Alligator mississippiensis: one gene and its partner. The protein of the gene in region 2 interacts with the protein of the main gene of each other region in a biochemical or structural test. Links are inferred from orthologs where the notes say so. Each region holds a gene or a part of one and is shown on either strand. Other genes may lie near its edges.

The links.
Region 1: the proteins of NGF (region 2) and NGFR form a complex in vitro, tested with the Homo sapiens proteins (2 studies listed by BioGRID and IntAct, with this or other methods). The link is inferred for Alligator mississippiensis from reciprocal best matches to the Homo sapiens genes NGF and NGFR.

The regions. Positions count from the first base shown.
Region 1 is NC_081827.1:168,900,014-168,908,841, reverse strand, and holds the start of NGFR (tumor necrosis factor receptor superfamily member 16), read right to left. Parts: upstream 3,960-8,828; 5' UTR 3,898-3,959; coding exon 3,841-3,897; intron 1-3,840. UniProt on the Homo sapiens protein: Low affinity receptor which can bind to NGF, BDNF, NTF3, and NTF4. Forms a heterodimeric receptor with SORCS2 that binds the precursor forms of NGF, BDNF and NTF3 with high affinity, and has much lower affinity for mature NGF and BDNF.
Region 2 is NC_081837.1:45,830,138-45,839,186, reverse strand, and holds the start of NGF (beta-nerve growth factor), read left to right. Parts: upstream 1-4,892; 5' UTR 4,893-4,972; intron 4,973-8,182; exon of another isoform or gene 8,183-8,532; intron 8,533-9,049. UniProt on the Homo sapiens protein: Nerve growth factor is important for the development and maintenance of the sympathetic and sensory nervous systems.

The DNA of each region.
Region 1 (8,828 bases), on a different chromosome or scaffold from region 2:
TAAGTCCAGTAATCAGCCCCATGGTTTGCAAGTATATCAGCTCCCTGCGCAGCTGGAAACTTCATCAGCCAATTAGCTGCCTCCTTTCACAATGTCTGCTTTATCCACTCTATTCTCTGTATATTATACATACTGGCATTAGACAATGAAGCGCCAATTACAGGCATTTGAATGACAAAGTGCTCCAATTACTCTGTGCTTGAAAGCATGTGCTCTCATCACTGGTGCTGAATTGCAACCGTAGCATCCTGCCGGATTCAGTGCTTCAGCTGCACAATAACTAGTGGGTCCCTCTGGAAACTACGCATCACACTGGTGAGCATAAAAAGCAGTTTCATACTCCAACATGCTAAAATGGGTCTCTGGTTCTTCAAGCAGAAGTTGTAAACTCCTAATGGCTCCTGTTTTAAGGTGATGGGGCATCCCCTGCTCCCAAAGGATGGGCCTGGAGTAGCTGGGAGCTCTGCCAAGCTGGTCCTCCCATATCACTCCTTATAGTGCCTTCTGCTGGAACAAAGCATTGGTTCTCAACCTCCTTAGACTAAAGGCAGCCCTCAGAAAATGCCAGCTCTTAGCTTTTGCTTCTTTTTCAACTTCCTGCCCAAGTGCAGATGGGCTGGACTTGATCTTATAAAGTCCCTTCCAGCCCCTAACATCTATGAATCTATGAATAGAGAAATTATTCTGATGCAAAGAACTTGGAAAGCCCACAGTAAAGCAGAAGGGTTTGACGCTATGGGTTCCTATTTGAAATCTCTGGGTTTATCTTGTGAATTGTATAAGTGTTGGCACATCTAATAGTGCTAATATTGCATGGCACCGCATACCATCCTTACAAGGATCTTGCAGAACCCTGGTTGAGAAGCACTGATCTAGAGCAACTCCTGTTGCTAGAGGCTGGGAACACAGTAGCTGCCAGCTGCCTGTGGCCAGCATGATACATTTCTTACTATTAACAATTCTGGGGAAAAAGAGGACCCAAGCAGCTGTGTTCTCTCTCTCTCAGCCAGCTCTCCCACACTATCCTTGCAGAAGCTTCTTCTCAGGGAGGCTGGGACTGAAGGACCTGTGAGCTACTCACAAGCAATATGCCTCAGAGAGCCTGGGATGGAAGAGAGCAAGTTACCAAGATCCAGCACTCTTCCTACATCCTATTCTGCTGTTCCTAGCACCAGAGCATGGAATTGGAATCGCTATGAGCTGTGGACAACCAGGGCTCCCTACAGTGCCCCCTGTTGGGAGAGGAGCAGTGGTGAGAAACAACCAGTCTTAATTAAGGTAGCTACAATTCCTACCAAGAACTCTTTTAGCTCTGAGTTCCTGTACAGCCAGCAGTAGTCCCCTTCCCCTGTTGTAATTCTTGCTCAGAAAGGTAAGGAGAAGTGATCGGAGGCCTCTGACCCCTGACAATCCCTCCCCTCCATGCTACTAAATGGTGTGGAAAATGTAACTTCCATTCCCAGGTGCTAGAACCACCCTCCCTTTCTGCCTGCTTTTCCCTACCCATGCTGGGGTCTTGAGCTGAAACGCCCATAAAGATTAACACACTTATAAGCGGGCACATGGTCTGCATTAGTCCAGTAAAATGTGCATGTTATTAACACAACTCCTGTTGACAAAGCCACAGGTATTAACCTCATAAAGCATTTTGACAGCTGGAACAAAGAGGGAAGAGAGACACCATTGCAAGCTTTTAATTGCTTTTTACATTGCAGTGGTAGATTCTATTTTATTTCATTTTTTTTTGGCGGATGAAGATTTAGAATGCGGGGTCAAAGCTCCACGCTTTGGGGAGAGATTTATACATGAAACCTGGCAGCAAGTCTCTTTAAGTCTCCAGCATGAAAAATATTTCATCCTGTTGGATGTAGAGTTATAGCTGGAGATGGGCCCATCTTAAAGTTCACTGCCCCCAAGCCTGATAAACTGGATCTGGCTGTCTTGGCTGTCTGTGATGGGAAGAACCAAAATGCTGGCTCAGAACAACCCCCAGACTTTGGGAAGCTTGAAACTAATGTGTGAAGAATTCTGCAGCCTAGGGGGAATCACAAGTCAAAGCAGCAAAAAGGAAGTCATTCTAGCTCTTCTGGGGTCTGTCTACACTGTGATCAAAGGTGTGACTGTAGCAGAGGAAGAAATCCACGTCTGCTCCACTCCGGCTAGCACTGGTAACAATAGCAGTGAAAGAATGTGGTAGCACAAACCTAAGCATGGGCTAGCAACCTGGGTCCCCAGGGAAGCTTGTATGCCTGGGCTAAACTCTGCTGGTTACATCTTCCCTGCTACTGATTAAAGCTGGAGTGGTTACACCTACCTTAGGTTCAATCCCACCCCAGTTGTAGTGCAAGACAAGTATTCATGTGATCCTGTCAGTGGGATACTCACCTGGACAAGCCAAAGAGCAAAGGAACTCTGCACTACTTGGGTATTTGTCAGTTATGGAGTTGGTGGTAATAAGACACTGAGCCTCTCAGGGCACAGACGCAGCTTGATTATCACCATATGCTTAGTGGTCTTTGTGAATGGAGTTAGAAGGGCCCAGTCCACCTTCCAGGTGAGACAGGTGTCCTAACACCATGATACCTTTGCCATTTCCTATATGGCTGGCTCCGCCAGAAGATACAAAGGAACTCTCCTCTGAACCCCAGAGGTGGTGCCTCTGAATTGGGGTTCAGCAGAGAAGGGATATTGGGGCTGCATCTGATCTGTGGATCAGGCCATGGGAGTGGCTGGATTTTTGCCAGGGCTGCATTGCTTTAAATAAATGATATGGCAAGAGATAGGGCACTCAGGTTTCTGCCCCTTGCCCTAAAGTGGGGCTAGCGCTTGCTTTGTCAGAAAGCAAATGCTGGACTGTATGGCACATAGGGACAGAGAGCCTGGATCAGACCCATGGTCCAGCTAGTTGGGTATCCCATCGCTGACAGTGGCTGGCACCAAATACTTCAGAGAGAAATGTGGGAGATGCAGAGTAGTAGGCAGGGGAGGACATGCCCCTCACATCCATCTTGTCCTGGTGCCTAATAGAGCTTGCCCTCGGCCCCGAAGCACTATGGTTAATCTTGCTTCCACCCCTCCTTGTCCCTCGTTCTGAGAGCTCAGGATATTCCCTATTGCCTACGTGAGCCTGACAATCTCTGGCAAGTCCTGCAGCCCCGTGTCCACACAACACACCGCTGTCCTGCAGCCTTTCCCTCCACTCTTGCCGCACTCCCCAGCTCTTTAATATTTCATTGGCCTCTGTACAGTGCCCGATGCGCGGACTTTCGTTTGTCCCTGGGCTTTAACTGCCTGTGCCCCGAGAACCGCCAGGAGCAGAGGGAGGTGCTTTAGTACCCAAGGGCTATTTCTCTGAGCTACTAGATGTCCCGACCCACACAGCACAGTCCCTGGGAACGGGGTGGGGCGGAGACTGAGGGGGAGCGCATGTGGGAACGGTGGCATGCTGGGGTCCCCGAGAAAGGGCGAGGCAGCTCCCCTCAGCCGGGTGGCTGGCCCATGCTCAGCCCCTGCTCCCCGAGGCGGCGGGAGCCCAGCTCCTGTGGGTGAAAGTCACCGGGGGCTGGGCTCTGCCCGCGGCTCAAGGGTGTGGGGTAGCTGTACCCAGCAGTCTTCAGAGAGGGGCCTTCAGGCTGCCACTCTCCCGGGATGGGGTGGCCTCTCCTGAGAGGGGCCACTACAGGCTGCAGCCTCACACCCGCGGAGTCCCTGGGAATGGAGGTGGGGGGAGCTGCCCTCTGTGCCCAGCCCCGTCCTGCCCCCGGCTCCCCCTGCCCAGCAGTCGCCCCCCAGGCATGGGCTCCCGGGGGCTGGGAGCTGCCCCGAGCCGGGGCCACTCACCCCTGCCCCCAGCAGCAGCAGCAGCAGCAGCAGCGCTGGCGGCGGCGCCTTGTCCATGGTGCGGGCGGCAGCGCGGACTCCTCCTGCCCCGACGGCGGCTACGACAGAGCAGCACCTGCGCGCCGGCTCGGCCCGTCTTATGGCAGCGCTGCCTCGTCCCCCCGCCCCGCCCCGCCCCGCCCCGCCCCGCCCGCGCCGCCTCCCGCCTCCCTCCGGCCCGCACCCCGCGCTGCCTGCCCCGCGCGCCCTCCTGGCCCGGCCTGGGTGCCCCACACACCCGCTCTGTCCTCATCCAGCCCGTCTCTCTGCCTGTCCCTCAACCTACAGCCGTGCACCCCTGCCTAGCCTCGTACACCCCTTCTGTTTATCGACCCCCACACCCCCTCTCCACTCTCATACATCCCTTCTATCTGTCCATCTGTCTGTTGCCATACACCCCTTCTATCCTCTTTCTTTCTTTCTTTCTTTCTTTCTTTCTTTCTTTCTTTCTTTCTTTCTTTCTTTCTTTCTTTCTTTCACCATAACCCTCACTCTATCCTCATCCACCCCTTCTACCACCTTACACCTCCACCCCTTCTATCTGTCTGTGTGCCTATCACCATAACCCCCTCTCTATCCTCATACACCCCCTCTATCTACCACCATAGACCCCTCTCTCTATCACCATACATCCCTTCTATCTACCCCATACACCCTCTCTTTTTATGCTCATTTACCCCCATACACCCCCTCTCTGTATCCTCATACAGCCCTTCTGTCTCTCTTTGTCTGTCTCCTACCATACACACACCTCTCTCTAGCCTCATACACCCCTTTCATCTATTGCCATCTTTCTGTCTGCCTGGTCTTTTATTGATTTTTTTACTTGCAGTACAGAACCACCAAGAAGCCTCCCTCAAGTGGAGAAACTTGCATGTGGTTGTGCAACTGAGCTCAAGACTGGGTAACAGATGCAGAGGAAATTCCCCTTCCAGCTCCCCCTCCCCAGCTGGGATCTTTTCCAAAGCAGGGTTTGCTGCTGAGATGTCCAGATGGCAATGAGCATTGCAGACTGCCCTTGTACGAGAAGTGCTACAGCATGCTGCACTAATGACCTCCTAACACTCCAGAGTCTCTTTGTTAAAAGATCCCATGGTATCCTACAAGAATGGCCTCAAATATGCTAGAGGATCTATCCCCCAGCTGCAGATGAGAAATGCACAACACAGTCAGGAGTGAGGAGGTGTCTTTTGCATACACCACATCTTTAGTCCAGGATGCTGTGTGTGGGTCTGGTTTCCCAGAACATCTTGAAGACTATGGATGGTCCCAAGCCAGTGATGGTAAGAGCATAAGGATGCCTCTGTCACACTCCCTTTCCCTCAAGCCATACCCCTTGTATTAGCAGCCAAAAGGGGGTTCGGGGAGGGCTGTTGCCCAGGTTCTCTGGCCCTGGAGGATCCAACAAGGCTGAGAAAAGCCTGGCATTGACAGGAATGCTGGCACTGAGGTACCTACACCATCAGCTTTGGGGAAAGTGACTGCACTGAGGAGGCAATCAATGCAGTCCCTTGTCTCACCTTAGCAATACTCTGGAGGGATTACCGTGGTTAATACTGTACTAATTAAACAGTCACCCTGGTGTTTGGGGTCGCTGTCAGAGAATGGTGGTGCCATCAGTAGGGGATAGAACATAAGGCTGGAAGGGAACCCTGAGTCCTCTGTGTATAAGCTATCCCTGGGTCATTGCAGCCAGCTAGCTCCCCCTTGTTCTTCAGTCCAAGTTAGGAAGGACCATATCAGGGCTACAACACTGCCTGGCCCTCAGGAGACCAGGGTTCTTTTTCTGGCTCAGTTGCAAAAGCTGGATTGTACTCTCTACCAGGGGTCAGCAAAGTTTTTGTGCAGGGTGCCAAAATCACCCATGACCTCAACTTGTAAAATGTTGGTATGCCAGGGGTGGATGGCAGGGGAGCTGCAAAGGGCTTGATCCTAGTTGTGGCAGTGCAGCCTTGGCCCCATCCTCACCGTCCACCCCAAGGCATGTGTGCCAAGCAAAATGCCTTCACATGTCACATTCTGGCACCCATGCCAGGGGTTATCTACCCCTGCCAATTGTGTGCTAGCACAGGCTCCCTTCAATGATTCTTTGGTCCATGCATCCACGGTGGCTTCATCCTCTGGTGTGGTCAAGCAGGAGCAGAGTCTGAAAAGAGAGCCACCTCCTATTTCATAAAATTAATGCTGTGGGTATTTCCAAAGAGCAACAAGGCAGGGGACCCGCAGAGAATAGCTTGGCAGACAATACATCCTTAAATCTCTTCTTGCCTTTTAGGCAAGTAAGACCCTCTCAATCAACCTGATTTCCCCCATCTACACAGGAATAACAGTCCCTTTGTGTATTTCAGTGATTCTCAGCTAGGGCACCAGGGCACACAAGGGTGCTGCAAGATCCTTTGAAGGGTACCTTGAGATGTGAGGAGATAAGCAGATAAGTGCAGACTCAGGCTCAGTCACCGCCTAGCTGTTACCCACACCCACTGCCTGATCCCTCTGCACTGTAATTAATAAGTTAATTTTTGAAATGGGGTGCTGCTCAATTCACAAAAATTATGGAGGGGGGCTGTGACAGTCCTGTGCCCCCACTCCCACCTGGCTTACCTCCATGCTGCAGCCCAGGTGGCTGGGCCACAATCAAAACGGCCTGCACGACGTGGCCAGAGCTGAAACTGCTGGTTGGCCCAGAACCTGATGGCTGCAGGCTCAAAATGGGCCCAGTAGTCAGAGAGCCAGGGGTGACACATCCAGGCACCAGGAAGGGAGCCGGATGCTTGCCTTGCTGCCAGAAGAGACAGCAAGGCACACCTTCACTTCTCCTGTTAGCCGTGCACCAAGGAGAGCACTGCAGTTGCACACTGCAGAGCAAGTGACTGGGAAGGACTCTGGTGTATCCCCGACGGCCAGCTGGAAGCTGGCTGTGCTCCCTGAGTCTAAAAGGCCAAGGTGAACAGCAGAACGCTCCCTCACCCCCAGAGTCTGGGGAACCAAAAGAGATGCCAGCCTGCCCGACTCCACCAATGATGGGCTGAGCACATCTGGCCCAGTCGCCTGTCCCAGGTGAAAGATGGGAAGCAGAGTTCTCAGTACAGTATCTGTTTGCCAGACTGGGTCCTTGGAACATGGGATCAGTGCCCATTCAAAGAATAGACTGCCAAAGCTGGCAGTACAGGCAATAAACAGAGCTTATCTTGTGATAATGCAGAGGAGATTGAAATGAAAGGATCTGCCTGGAGACATGTTGCAAAGTTGACTCTAACAGGGAGGTCAGGAAGAGAGTGAATTGGCTAAATGATGGGTGGCAGGTCCGTTTACTACCATCACCAGAGAACTGCCTGGGAACACACAGGTCAGGTGGGGGTGGGAGAGGGCAGCCCACTGGGCTCTGCAGGCACTGGACTAGGGTGGACCCCAACAGGGAGTCTGAGATCCACACACCCCACTGGAGCAACAGCACACTCAAAGTGTGCCAACTGGTGACTGGTGGGACACCAGATCCCATATGATAGCCACATGGGATGCCACGGGACAGTGGCAATATCTGGCCTGGTTGCCAAATGGGGAAGAACCCCAGTAGAAAGCCAGCTTGCTGGGAAGGCTATTCTGTCCCAAGGGGGGAGTGCAGTGAGCACCTACCCCATCGCACTCAGGAGTGACCTGCTCAGCATGGGGGCAATGTTGCCCTGCCCACCACCCAAGCAGGGCTCTTTTTGGTTAAGTTTCTGCTTTTGTGTTGTTATTTTCACAAGTCAAATGACTAGCAGCGAGTACCCTGTGGCATCTTTTTCAATGGTTGAAGAAGGAAATAGTGGTTGTGCCAGGGCACTGCCAGAAACCACTGGAACACCCGAGTGGAAAGGGGTGGGGTGTAGGGGAGGAGAAGCCCCTGGACATCAAAGGAAGCACTGAGCCCCACCTCCAAAGTTACTTTAGGAACAAGAAGTCATGGCAGGTGGTTAGATCCAGGTGTGAGGCCAGGTGGCAGGGCATGCCCCTGTTCAGTGGGCATGGGCCTGTCACAGGGGCCTTGAGTCTAATGAGGGGTGCCTTGAGTCTAAAAATGTTGAGAACCATCAATCTATTCTGACTGTAAACTCTCTGGAATAAAGACTGTCTGTTCCTACAGGGTTATATATAACACCTTGAACAAAGGGGCACTGAACTAAAGTGGGACCATTGCACATAAACAGGAAATAAACTATATTTGCTAGCTTCATTTGGTAGCCAGCTCCCATTTTTTTCCCCAGACCTGGGCTCTGATATCCCTTACTGAGTGGACACTGTTCCCTTCAGCCTTAGTGGGCTCATTGACTCAAAAGAAAATTCTGTCTTGCCTCCTTCCCTGTCCTTGACCCTGAGACCTCTGATGAGCTAAATTGTGCACTTGTGAGAGGAAAGAGTTGAAAATGTCACTCCTTTTTTTTCATCCCAGCAACACTCTTTGGCCCCTGAGTGGGGGTAGGGAGGGGACATGGGTCTAGAGCTACTCATTGGAGCATGACATGATCTGAATGCTCTCTGTGGTGCTCATCAAACAATTAATGGGCTTTATTCTGGCTTTAATAATGGATGGCAGCTTAAAAATTACCCAGCAAACAGTATGTGTTCCTGTCCTCTCCTGAAATGGTCTCTAACCCCAAGGGGGAAAGGGAAAGAAGGAGCTCTCTAAGTGAGTTGACTGCAGAACGGAGGGGCAGGCAAAGTATGCAGGGAAGGGGGAGTGCTCCCTGATGCTCAGGAAGGCATCAGAATAAAAACAGTCTTTGCAATTCCAAGCTAAAGTGAAACTGAAAGGGGAGAGAGAAGGAAGAGGGTCCTGTATCTTCACTCCTTCACCCTCCAATCCTGGAAAGTACTGAGAGACAGTAAGTTTTGGGTCTGAGACAGCTGAGTTGAAGATCTGGCCCTGTCTAGGAGTTCATTGTAAATGTTTGAATAAGAAAAAGGAACCT
Region 2 (9,049 bases):
CCAAAGCCACATCAAGCAAGAGCCTGGGCAGCATACTGATGCAGACTAGTGCTAAAGAGGAACATCCCGTTGCATCTCTGTGTAAAAACAGGCTTCACTGGAGAAAACTATCCAGCTACAGGAAAGATGTGTTCTGCACCTCGTGGGGCTCTTATGAGAGTGCAGCTCTGCACTGCCCTCCCTGTTTCTTGCAAACTTCACAGAATAGTTCAAATTTGAATGGCCCAAACAACCCACTCTGCCAGATTGCTATGACTAACACCAACTGCTAATAAAATGCTGGGACTGACCAAGTTCACCAGAGCTGCAGGCCTTTGTACGCTCCCGTGCTAACTGCAGTTCCTGGTGGCCAGTAGAGATCTGTCATGCTCATTATTCTGAGACTGGCACAACAAAGAACTGATACGGGTAAAGGCTCTGCTCCACGCTCTCACACTGCCCCGCGTCACATTTTCATTTAAGGTCACCACACTCGGACAGCTGAGAACAGCCTGCCTGTATTCATCCGAATGCCTTTTGTGCCGGATCTTGAAGACGTTTCCTTATAAAAAAGCATCAGCGAGACAAGAGCATTCCTACTGCACCCGTTAAAATCCCAGCCAGCCAAGAAAGAACAGGATCAGCATAGCTCATTTACGTAACGCACGAATATGGAAAGCTTCCGAGCATCGCTTGGTCAGAACTGCAGCACACTACAAACAAAGCAAGTATGGATTGACCTGCTGATTGACTGTCTCCTGACCGAGTTCTTTGTGCATGATTGATTTCACTGGGAGTCCATGTGGCAGAAACAGTTAAAAAATATTTACAGAAGACTGAGTTCTACAGTCAATCAGTAATGAGTTGACTTGCATGACCCATTTATTTGTAATCCATGGGTAGGATACTGGTTTTCTCTAACTGTGTCATAAACAAGGGACTATGAAGCATTGCTATACAAAATGTCTCAATGAAAGGAGACTGTCTCATATTTTGTAGCACCTGACGAAGTAGGCAGTTGCTTACAAAAGCTCATGCCTTTCTGAACAAGTTAGTTGATAAAGGTGCCACACTGCCCCGCCTTCTGCCAAACTTCAGAGTAACACACTAGCTACCTCTCAGTACATATTCTTTAAACCAGACGACCCTTCCCTCTTTGTATGTAAAATAGGGCTGGATGTAGTTGTGCGATCATCACGCATTCAATATCCTTCTACCCTTCCAGTCAACATCTATTTGGCCAAACGTTCTCAGTGTCTTCACTCTGCGAAGCGTGTGCAAGTTAAAAATGTAAATCCCATCACATATCACATAGGTTTAAGACTGGAGCCTTCAGACAACATTACACAAGGTAACTAGGATCATCACTACATCACAACTTTCTGGAAATTCCTTTACTTAATTGGAAGTGATAAATCTTTCAGCACAAAACATATCCAGGTAAGAGACAGGGGCCCAGATAGTCCTGGGATTAGGGGGCGGTGCATACACCTTCAGGAGGCCTTAAATGCCTCTATACTAATGCTTGTAGTATGGGGAACAAGCAGGAGGAACTTGCCCTCCTGCTAGCTAACACAAACCCAGACATAGCGGGGCTCACAGAAATGTGATGGGATCCAACGCACAACTGGGCGGTGAACATCAAGGGCTATGGGCTGTACAGAAGGGACAGGACAGGGAGGAAAGGCGGGGGCGTAGCACTCTACGTCAAAGAACAATTCACATCCTCCACGAGCAGCACAGGGTCAGAGGAGGGGCAAGCTGAAGTGCTCTGGGTTAGAATACAAGGGGGTCAGGGAGAAAGGGATTTAACAGTGGGGGTCGGTCTACTACAGACCACCCAACCGGGGGGAAGAGCTGGACCGAGAATGTTCAGGTCGGCTCGCGGAGGCAGTTAAGTCAAAGGACGTGGTCATCCTGGGTGACCTGAACTACCCGGACATCTGCTGGGAGGAGCAGTCAGCCAGGTGTGACCGCTCACGTAGGTTCCTAGCCGAGATACAGGACCTCCACCTAACCCAGGAAGTGCACAGTCCCACCAGGGGAAATGCCCTGTTAGACCTGGTCCTGGCCACGGGTGATGCCCTGGTGACCACCTGCGTGACAGGAAGACAGCAGCCCTAGACTTCAGGAGGAACAATTTCACTGAGCTAAGGAGACCAGTCGGGGAGGCACTGAGGTCCTGGAGGGGTGGGGAGTTGGGAGTCCGAGAAGAGTGGTCATCCCTGAAGGAGATGATCCTTCAAGCCCAAAGAGTGGCAATCCCAACACAGATCAAAGGGGGCAAGAGTGCTCAGAAGCTCCCATGGCTCACCAAAGGCATCCAGGAACGTCTCCAAGCTAAAAAGGAGGCGTGCACCCGGTGGAAGGGAGGACTATGCCTCCGTTGCTCGGGATTGTATTGGGGCGGGCGGGAAGGCCAAGGCGGAGATGGAACTGGGACTAGCGACCCGGATCAAGGATAACAAGAAATCCTTTTTTAAATACATAGGGGGTAAAAAGAAGGTACCAAATAACGTGGGGCCTCTGCAGGACATGCTAGAAAATCTGGTGGTCTCACCAGATGACAAAGCTAACCTATTTAACAATTTCTTTGCCTCCATTTTTCTAAGCAGAGACCAGGTCATCCCCTCCACCAGGATCCCCGACGGACCCAGGCGGGGCGCACCCAGGCCCAGGGTCAGCGAAGGCCTAGTCTGGGAACTTCTGGAAGGACTGGACGTGTTCAAATCAGCAGGTCCTGACGATCTTCACCCCAGGGTGCTGAGGGAATTAGCAGAGGTCATTGTGGGACCCCTGGTATGGCTTTACAAGCACTCGTGGTGCTCTGGTGAGGTGGCAGAGGTCTGGAAAAGGACCAATGTGGTCTCCCTTTTCAAAAAAGGGAGGAAGGGGGACCCAGGAAACTACAGGCCTGTTAGTCTTACCTCGGTCCTGGGGAAGCTCTTTGAGAACATTATCCGGGAGCACATCTGCGAGGGGCCGGCAGGGGGATCATGCTGAGGGGCAACCAACACGGGCTCATTAGAGGCAGGTCCTGTCAGACCAACCCGGTGGCCTTCTACGACCAGGTCACAAAATCCTTGGATGCAGGTGTCGCGGTGGACGTAGTCTTTCTGGACTTTAGGAAGGCCTTTGACACTGTCTCTCACCTCATTCTCGTTAAAAAATTAGGAGATTGTGGTGTCGACCCCTACACAGTCAGATGGGTCACCAATTGCCTGGAGGGCCATACCCAGAGTGGTGGTGGACGGGTCTTTTTCGACCTGGAGGGCTGTGGGCAGTGGGGTCCCCCGGGCTCAGTCCTCAGACCCGCGCTGTTCAACATCTCCATCAGCGGCTTGGACAAGGGGGTAAAAAGCTCCTCGTTCAAATTTGCTGATGACACTAAGATGTGGGGGGAAGTGGGCACGCTAGAAGGGAGGAATAGGCTGGTATCAGACCTAGACAGGTTCCAGGGGTGGGCGGATGAGAACAGGATGGGTTCAGCACTGACAAGTGCAAGGTGCTGCACCTGGGGAGGAAGAACCAGCAGCACACCTACAGGCTGGAGAACTCCCTTCTCATCAGAGCAGAGGCAGAAAAGGATCTTGGAGTCATTATTGATGCCAAAATGAACACGGGCTGACAGTGTCGGGACACGGGCAGGAAGGCCAGCCGCACCTTGTCGTGCATCCACAGATGCCTCCTTTTGAGCAGGTCCAAGGAGGTGATCCTCCCCCTCTGTGCGACACTGGTCAGGCCGCAGCTGGAGTACTGCGTCCAGTTCTGGGCGCCGCACTTCAGGAGGGATGTGGCCAGCATGGAGCGAGTCCAGAGGAGGCCATTCGCATGATCTGGGGGCAGCAGGGCAGGCCCGACGAGGAGAAGCAATGGGACCTGAAGCTGTTCAGCCTTCACAAGAGAAGGCTGAGGGGGGATCTAGTGGCTGTTTACAAACTAGTCAGGGGGACCAGCAGGCATTGGGGGGTGCCCGTTCCCCCGAGCGCTGCCAGGAGTGACAAGAAATACCGGTCACAAGCTGGCAGAGGGCAGATTCAGACTAGATGTCAGGAGGCGCGACTTCACTGCCAGGGCGGCTAGGATCTGGAACCAACGTCCAAGAGAAGTGGTGCTGGCTCCTACCCTGGGGGTCTTCAAAAGGAGGCTCAATAATCACCTCGCCAGGGTTGTTTGACCCCAGCGCTCTTTCCTGCCAGGGCAGGGGGTCGGACTTGAGGATCTGCTCGGGTCCCATCCGACCCGACCAACTATGAAGCTATGAAACTATAATGTAAATTCAAGCTGATATTGTGAAAAAACCCACTTCTGATGTTACAGAAGTAACACTCTGCTTTTTCTTTTTGATCTTCCCAAATCAAGCGCAACCCAACACAAGGCAAAGACATGTGGGATGCCAGCCGTGGTCACGCACCTACCATTTGCCTCTGTGCAGCTGCTCAGCGGATGCCAGAACAAGTCGTGCCCCGGCCCAGACTAAACCTATCAGCCCCGCCGCTCCCCGTCATGACAGACCCAGATGTGAAGCCAGTGGCGGAGCTCGTGGGGCAGCCCGACCGCAACGTGGGCGGGGAGGTTCGGGCAGTGCCGCAAGGACCGTGCCCGGCCAGCCGGGCCCTTCCCGCCCTGCCCCGGGGTGTGCAGCGCCGGCCACCGGCCCCGCGGACACGCAGGGCACTCAAGGAGCGGGGCCCGGAGCCCCGGCAAGGGAGGAGCTCCTCGTCGGTGCAGCGTGCGGGACAGGGGCCAGCGGCACAAGGAGCTCCTCAGGCAGGTGTCGGGGCGGCGGGCGCGGGCCGGGGCCGGGGCCGTGGGCGGGGCGGGAGCCGTGCCGGGGCCGGTGCGGGGCGCGGCGCTAGGACCCGGCGGCGCGGCGGCGCGCGGGGCAGGTCGCAGCCCGCGAGGCGAGCGCTGCAGGAGGCGGCGGCGGCGGCGGCGGCAGCGGCCACGGCCACGGCCACGCTCGGCGCCGCGGGACCGGCGGGAGCCGCAGGTGAGGGCGCGGGCGGCGGGACGGGACGAGACGGGACGGGGCGGGGCGGGGCGGGCGCGGGTCCGTGCGGAGCCTCCCGGGCGAGCCCCGCGTGCCGGCCAGCGGCGCCCCCGCCTCCCCGCCCGCAGGGCTCCGCTCCGGCTCCGGCCGCATCCGCCCGCGGGCAGCGCCGCCGTTGCGCGCCCGCAGCTGGAGCCGGAGCCCCCGGCGCGGCGCGGCGCGGCGCGGCGGGGAGGACGCCCGCACGTGCCCGGCCAGGCTCGGTGCTGCGGCGGGGCGCCGTGCGCGGGGTACCGGGGCGGGCAAGGTGAAGCGTGTCAGGAGACAGCTGGCACTGCCCGCCGCTGCCAGGGAGGGCTCCCGCACTCGTGCCGCCGCGGGAGAGGGCCACGCTCGCACGGGCCGGGCCGGGCCGGGCCGGGCGGACGTGGCGCGTGCGGGGTCGGGACTGACCCGCGCCAGCGAGAGCGGTCTGTCCCCGCGCCAGGAGGACCCCGCTCAGCCCACCCAAGCCAGAGCCGCGCCGCGCCGCGCCGCGCGTGTCAGCCCGGCTGCAGCAAGGGGGACCTCTGCTGGCAAGTGCCCCCGTCCCGACAGGAGCGGCCGTGCTCGAAGCAGGGTGTAAAGTACCCCGTCCTGCTCCACACGCACACGGGACCTGCCCCCCACCCTCCCCGCAGAGCCCCCGGCGCTGGGGCGTGCCAGGGCATCCGCCGAGCGCACCCGCACCTGTTGCAGGCGGAGAGCACAGGGCGCTTTGTGCAGGGGCGGCGGAGGGTCCGCGATTAAACTCCCTCGGCAGGATTTAGGCCGTTCCTGCCTTCGCTCAGAACTCGTAATACCCATTAGCACCAGATGTTCGCTCGCATGGAGCGACTGTGCCCGCTGACGCAGGCAGCTGAGCGAGTGCAGATGACCTCCTTTACATTGGGAGCCTGCGGAGGGGAATCCCACCCCCCGCCAGGTCTCGCCTAGCATTGCCCCCAGGACCCGGCAGCGCGGGAAGGTCGATGGCTTGTCAGCGTCTGCACTGAAGGCAGCCGCCAAGTCATTGAGAGTGACATCGTGCAAGCTGCATGGGGTTTCTGTCAAGACTAATGGACAAGGAAGTGAAGGTTTACCTCACACTGAGGCCCAAGTCAGTGGAGTAGGTGTTAGTGTGTGTTTGTTTCTTCTCTGTAGGAAGAGCTTAATGTCTCAATGCAAAAAAACTGTAGTTGAATCAGGAGCAGATGGGTCTTGCTGCAGTCCCTCAGTCAGAATCCTAACAGAAATATGTAACTTGTCAGCCCGTGGTGGTCGTAACCGAGTTCAGTCGAGTCAACTACTCCTGCACGACATGCTGGCACAACTGCGCGTGCACACACACATGCAGAGCTGGGTTTAGAGTCAAAAAGGCAAAAGAGCTCACTGTCAGACTGGGAAGATGAGGCAACGTATCCTGCTCAGCCAGCAACAAACCAGTAAGGAGATAAACAGTAGCAAGGAATTATCATGTAAATCCCTTGCTGCTCTTTATCAGTAGCAGGGAACATGTGTAAATTAACACCATCCTTGTCCCGGTCCTGCCTCACACCTGGAACCTGCACACTTGAAATAAGTTCCCAAAAAGGCTTGTGTGGGGCAGGCGGGGTGGAGAGCTCTTCACTACGAGGAGAATATTCTGAAGAGATGTAACAGGGGCAGGAACTGCTGAATGACATGCAAGGGAAGTGAATGTTTTGAGTAACTCCTCCCCACAATACCCGCAAAGGAAACCACAAGAAAAATTAAGAAACAGATAATCTGTTAAAAGATAAATACTCTTTTTCCTCCTCACACCCTAGACAGATACTTCAGTTATATTCCAGAGAGGACTAGAGGTCGATTTAAATAGCAACACCATCTGCAGTTACACTAGTTAGAGGAAAAGGCAGCTGAAAAGTCTGCAGATATCAATGGTGTAGTTTCTACAGCAATCGTGGTGTGGCCTGTCTCAGTGCAAGTAGCATTTTATATTGCTGTTACATTCCATGGTTTATATTACAAGGTATTTGCAAATATGGCCAAGTTACAATTGCAAATTAGGATACACTGCAGAGATACTTCCACAGTGCATGGGTCCCACAGCATGCCTGCGTGGCAGCATGCTCTCATGTGACACCTTTCACTGCCTAAAGCCATAGTCGAAGGCCAAGTGCAAGAAGTGGGAACTCCCCGACCAGCACTCTGCTGGCCACCCACCCCTCTTTGGGCATGACTGGTTTGGAAATAATCCAGTTGGTAATTAGGAAGGAAGCTGCCCTTGGAGGGCCTCCGTGTCTGAGGGCCAAAATACACACTCCAACCATCCCTACACATGTCCCAAGCCTTGCAGATTTTGCTCGCAGCTGTGCTAAGCTCGGGCCTGAGGCCAGGCCCAACTCGTCACAGTATTGAGCCTCTTTCTGCCCTGGTAAGGGCCACACTCATACCTCCCCCCTCTCACACTCCTGCTCTCACCCCGTCTCTTTCATCCCACCCTTCCTGGGCCTCACTCCTACTGCCCCTTCTCTCCTGGGGACCACATGCACCTTGCCCTCACCCCGAGGGTCCTCAGGCTTGCTGCTTTTCACTCCCTGGCCAACAAGTGCACAGCCTTTTGGGCATCTCTCTCTGCCCTCATCAGCACAAGCTCTGGGCTGCTCACTAAATGCTGTGCTGACTCTGCCCCGGTCTCCTCCCTGGGCAACTCCCCCAGCTGCTCTCCAGCAAGGGGCTAATGGCTCACCCCCTTCTCCTTGCAGCTCCTCCTCTGTTGCCCTCTAATTGGGCTTGGGCACCTGAGGGCTTCCCTGGGCCTAACCCAGGCCCCTGTGCTAGCAGGGCCTTCACCCAAGCTCCTGCCCACAGGGCCTGAACTCATGCCCCTCACTCACAGGGCTTCACCCCTCCCACTCTCTACTCTGGGGTCAAACACCCAGGAGGCTCAGATGCTGTTTGTCGGCATGCCTGGCCCAGAGTTCGCCCCTTCTCACCAGGGCCTCGACTGCTCATCTTACGGGGTCTTCCACCCCTTCGGGCTCAGGCGCGTCTCAAAGCTTACCTGGCCTTCACCACACCCCTTCAGGGTCGTGCACCCCATTGGGCTCAGATGTCCCCTATGGACTTCCCCGGCCCCACTACTCCCTCTCCAATGTTACCACATAGCCTAGTGGGTGGGAGGGGGAGGGCTTAGGCACCCGGACCTACCTTTCACCGGGAAGGTCCTCAAACCTGGCATTTCAATGGCCCTGCCCCACCAGAGGCCGGACCACCAGCTCTCCCGGCCCCAGCAGGGTGCAGCTTTAGGCCATGCCCAGGACCACTGGGGCCTCCTCCTTCCCCACCCATATCTCTACGCTGGTCTTGGAGCAGCAGTTCTTCCCGGCAATGTTACTTCCACGGTGCCTGGCAGCAAGTGCTGCCTCCCGCCCTGGGACTTAAAATGGCCACTCGTTAGGGCTGGGCCGCACCTGCCTGCTGCCTGACCCAGGTCTTAAAGTGGCAGAGCCCTCACACTGCTCTGACACCCCACCCCCCTCCAGTGTTTATCGGGAAGGCTTTTCCCTGCTGCTCCCAAACACAAGCTCCCCCAAAGCCTGTGATAGCCCCGAAGTGGCGAGCACCCCACTGGTGCTGCGCCACACCGCAGAAAGTGTGGGCTCGTGACTTCAGGTCCTTTGGAAGCCCCCTTGGTGCACGAGACATTCTCCTCTTGGGCTGGTTTAAGATCAGGAGCAATACTGAGGAAGTCAAGGTTATGCTGGTGTGAATGGCAGAGAGAGCAGCTGCTGACAGGGTGAATCATTTTAGACAAGGTTGTGCTTCCACAGGACTCTGCTCACCTCAGAGTGAGTTTAGCCACTCAAAAATATGTGAAGTACTTTATGAGTCAAGATTGTTTTTTTTCAAGTTTGCAGACTGTGTAAGAGGCTAAATGAGATCAAAATAAAGGAGGTACTTAAAACGATTACTGTAAGATCAAGCATGGACTTTTGCACCCAAACACTCCATTCTTCTAAGGGTTGTAAGAACCTGAAACCAGGGGCTTGGGATGAATGTGCCTGCTCAGCCATA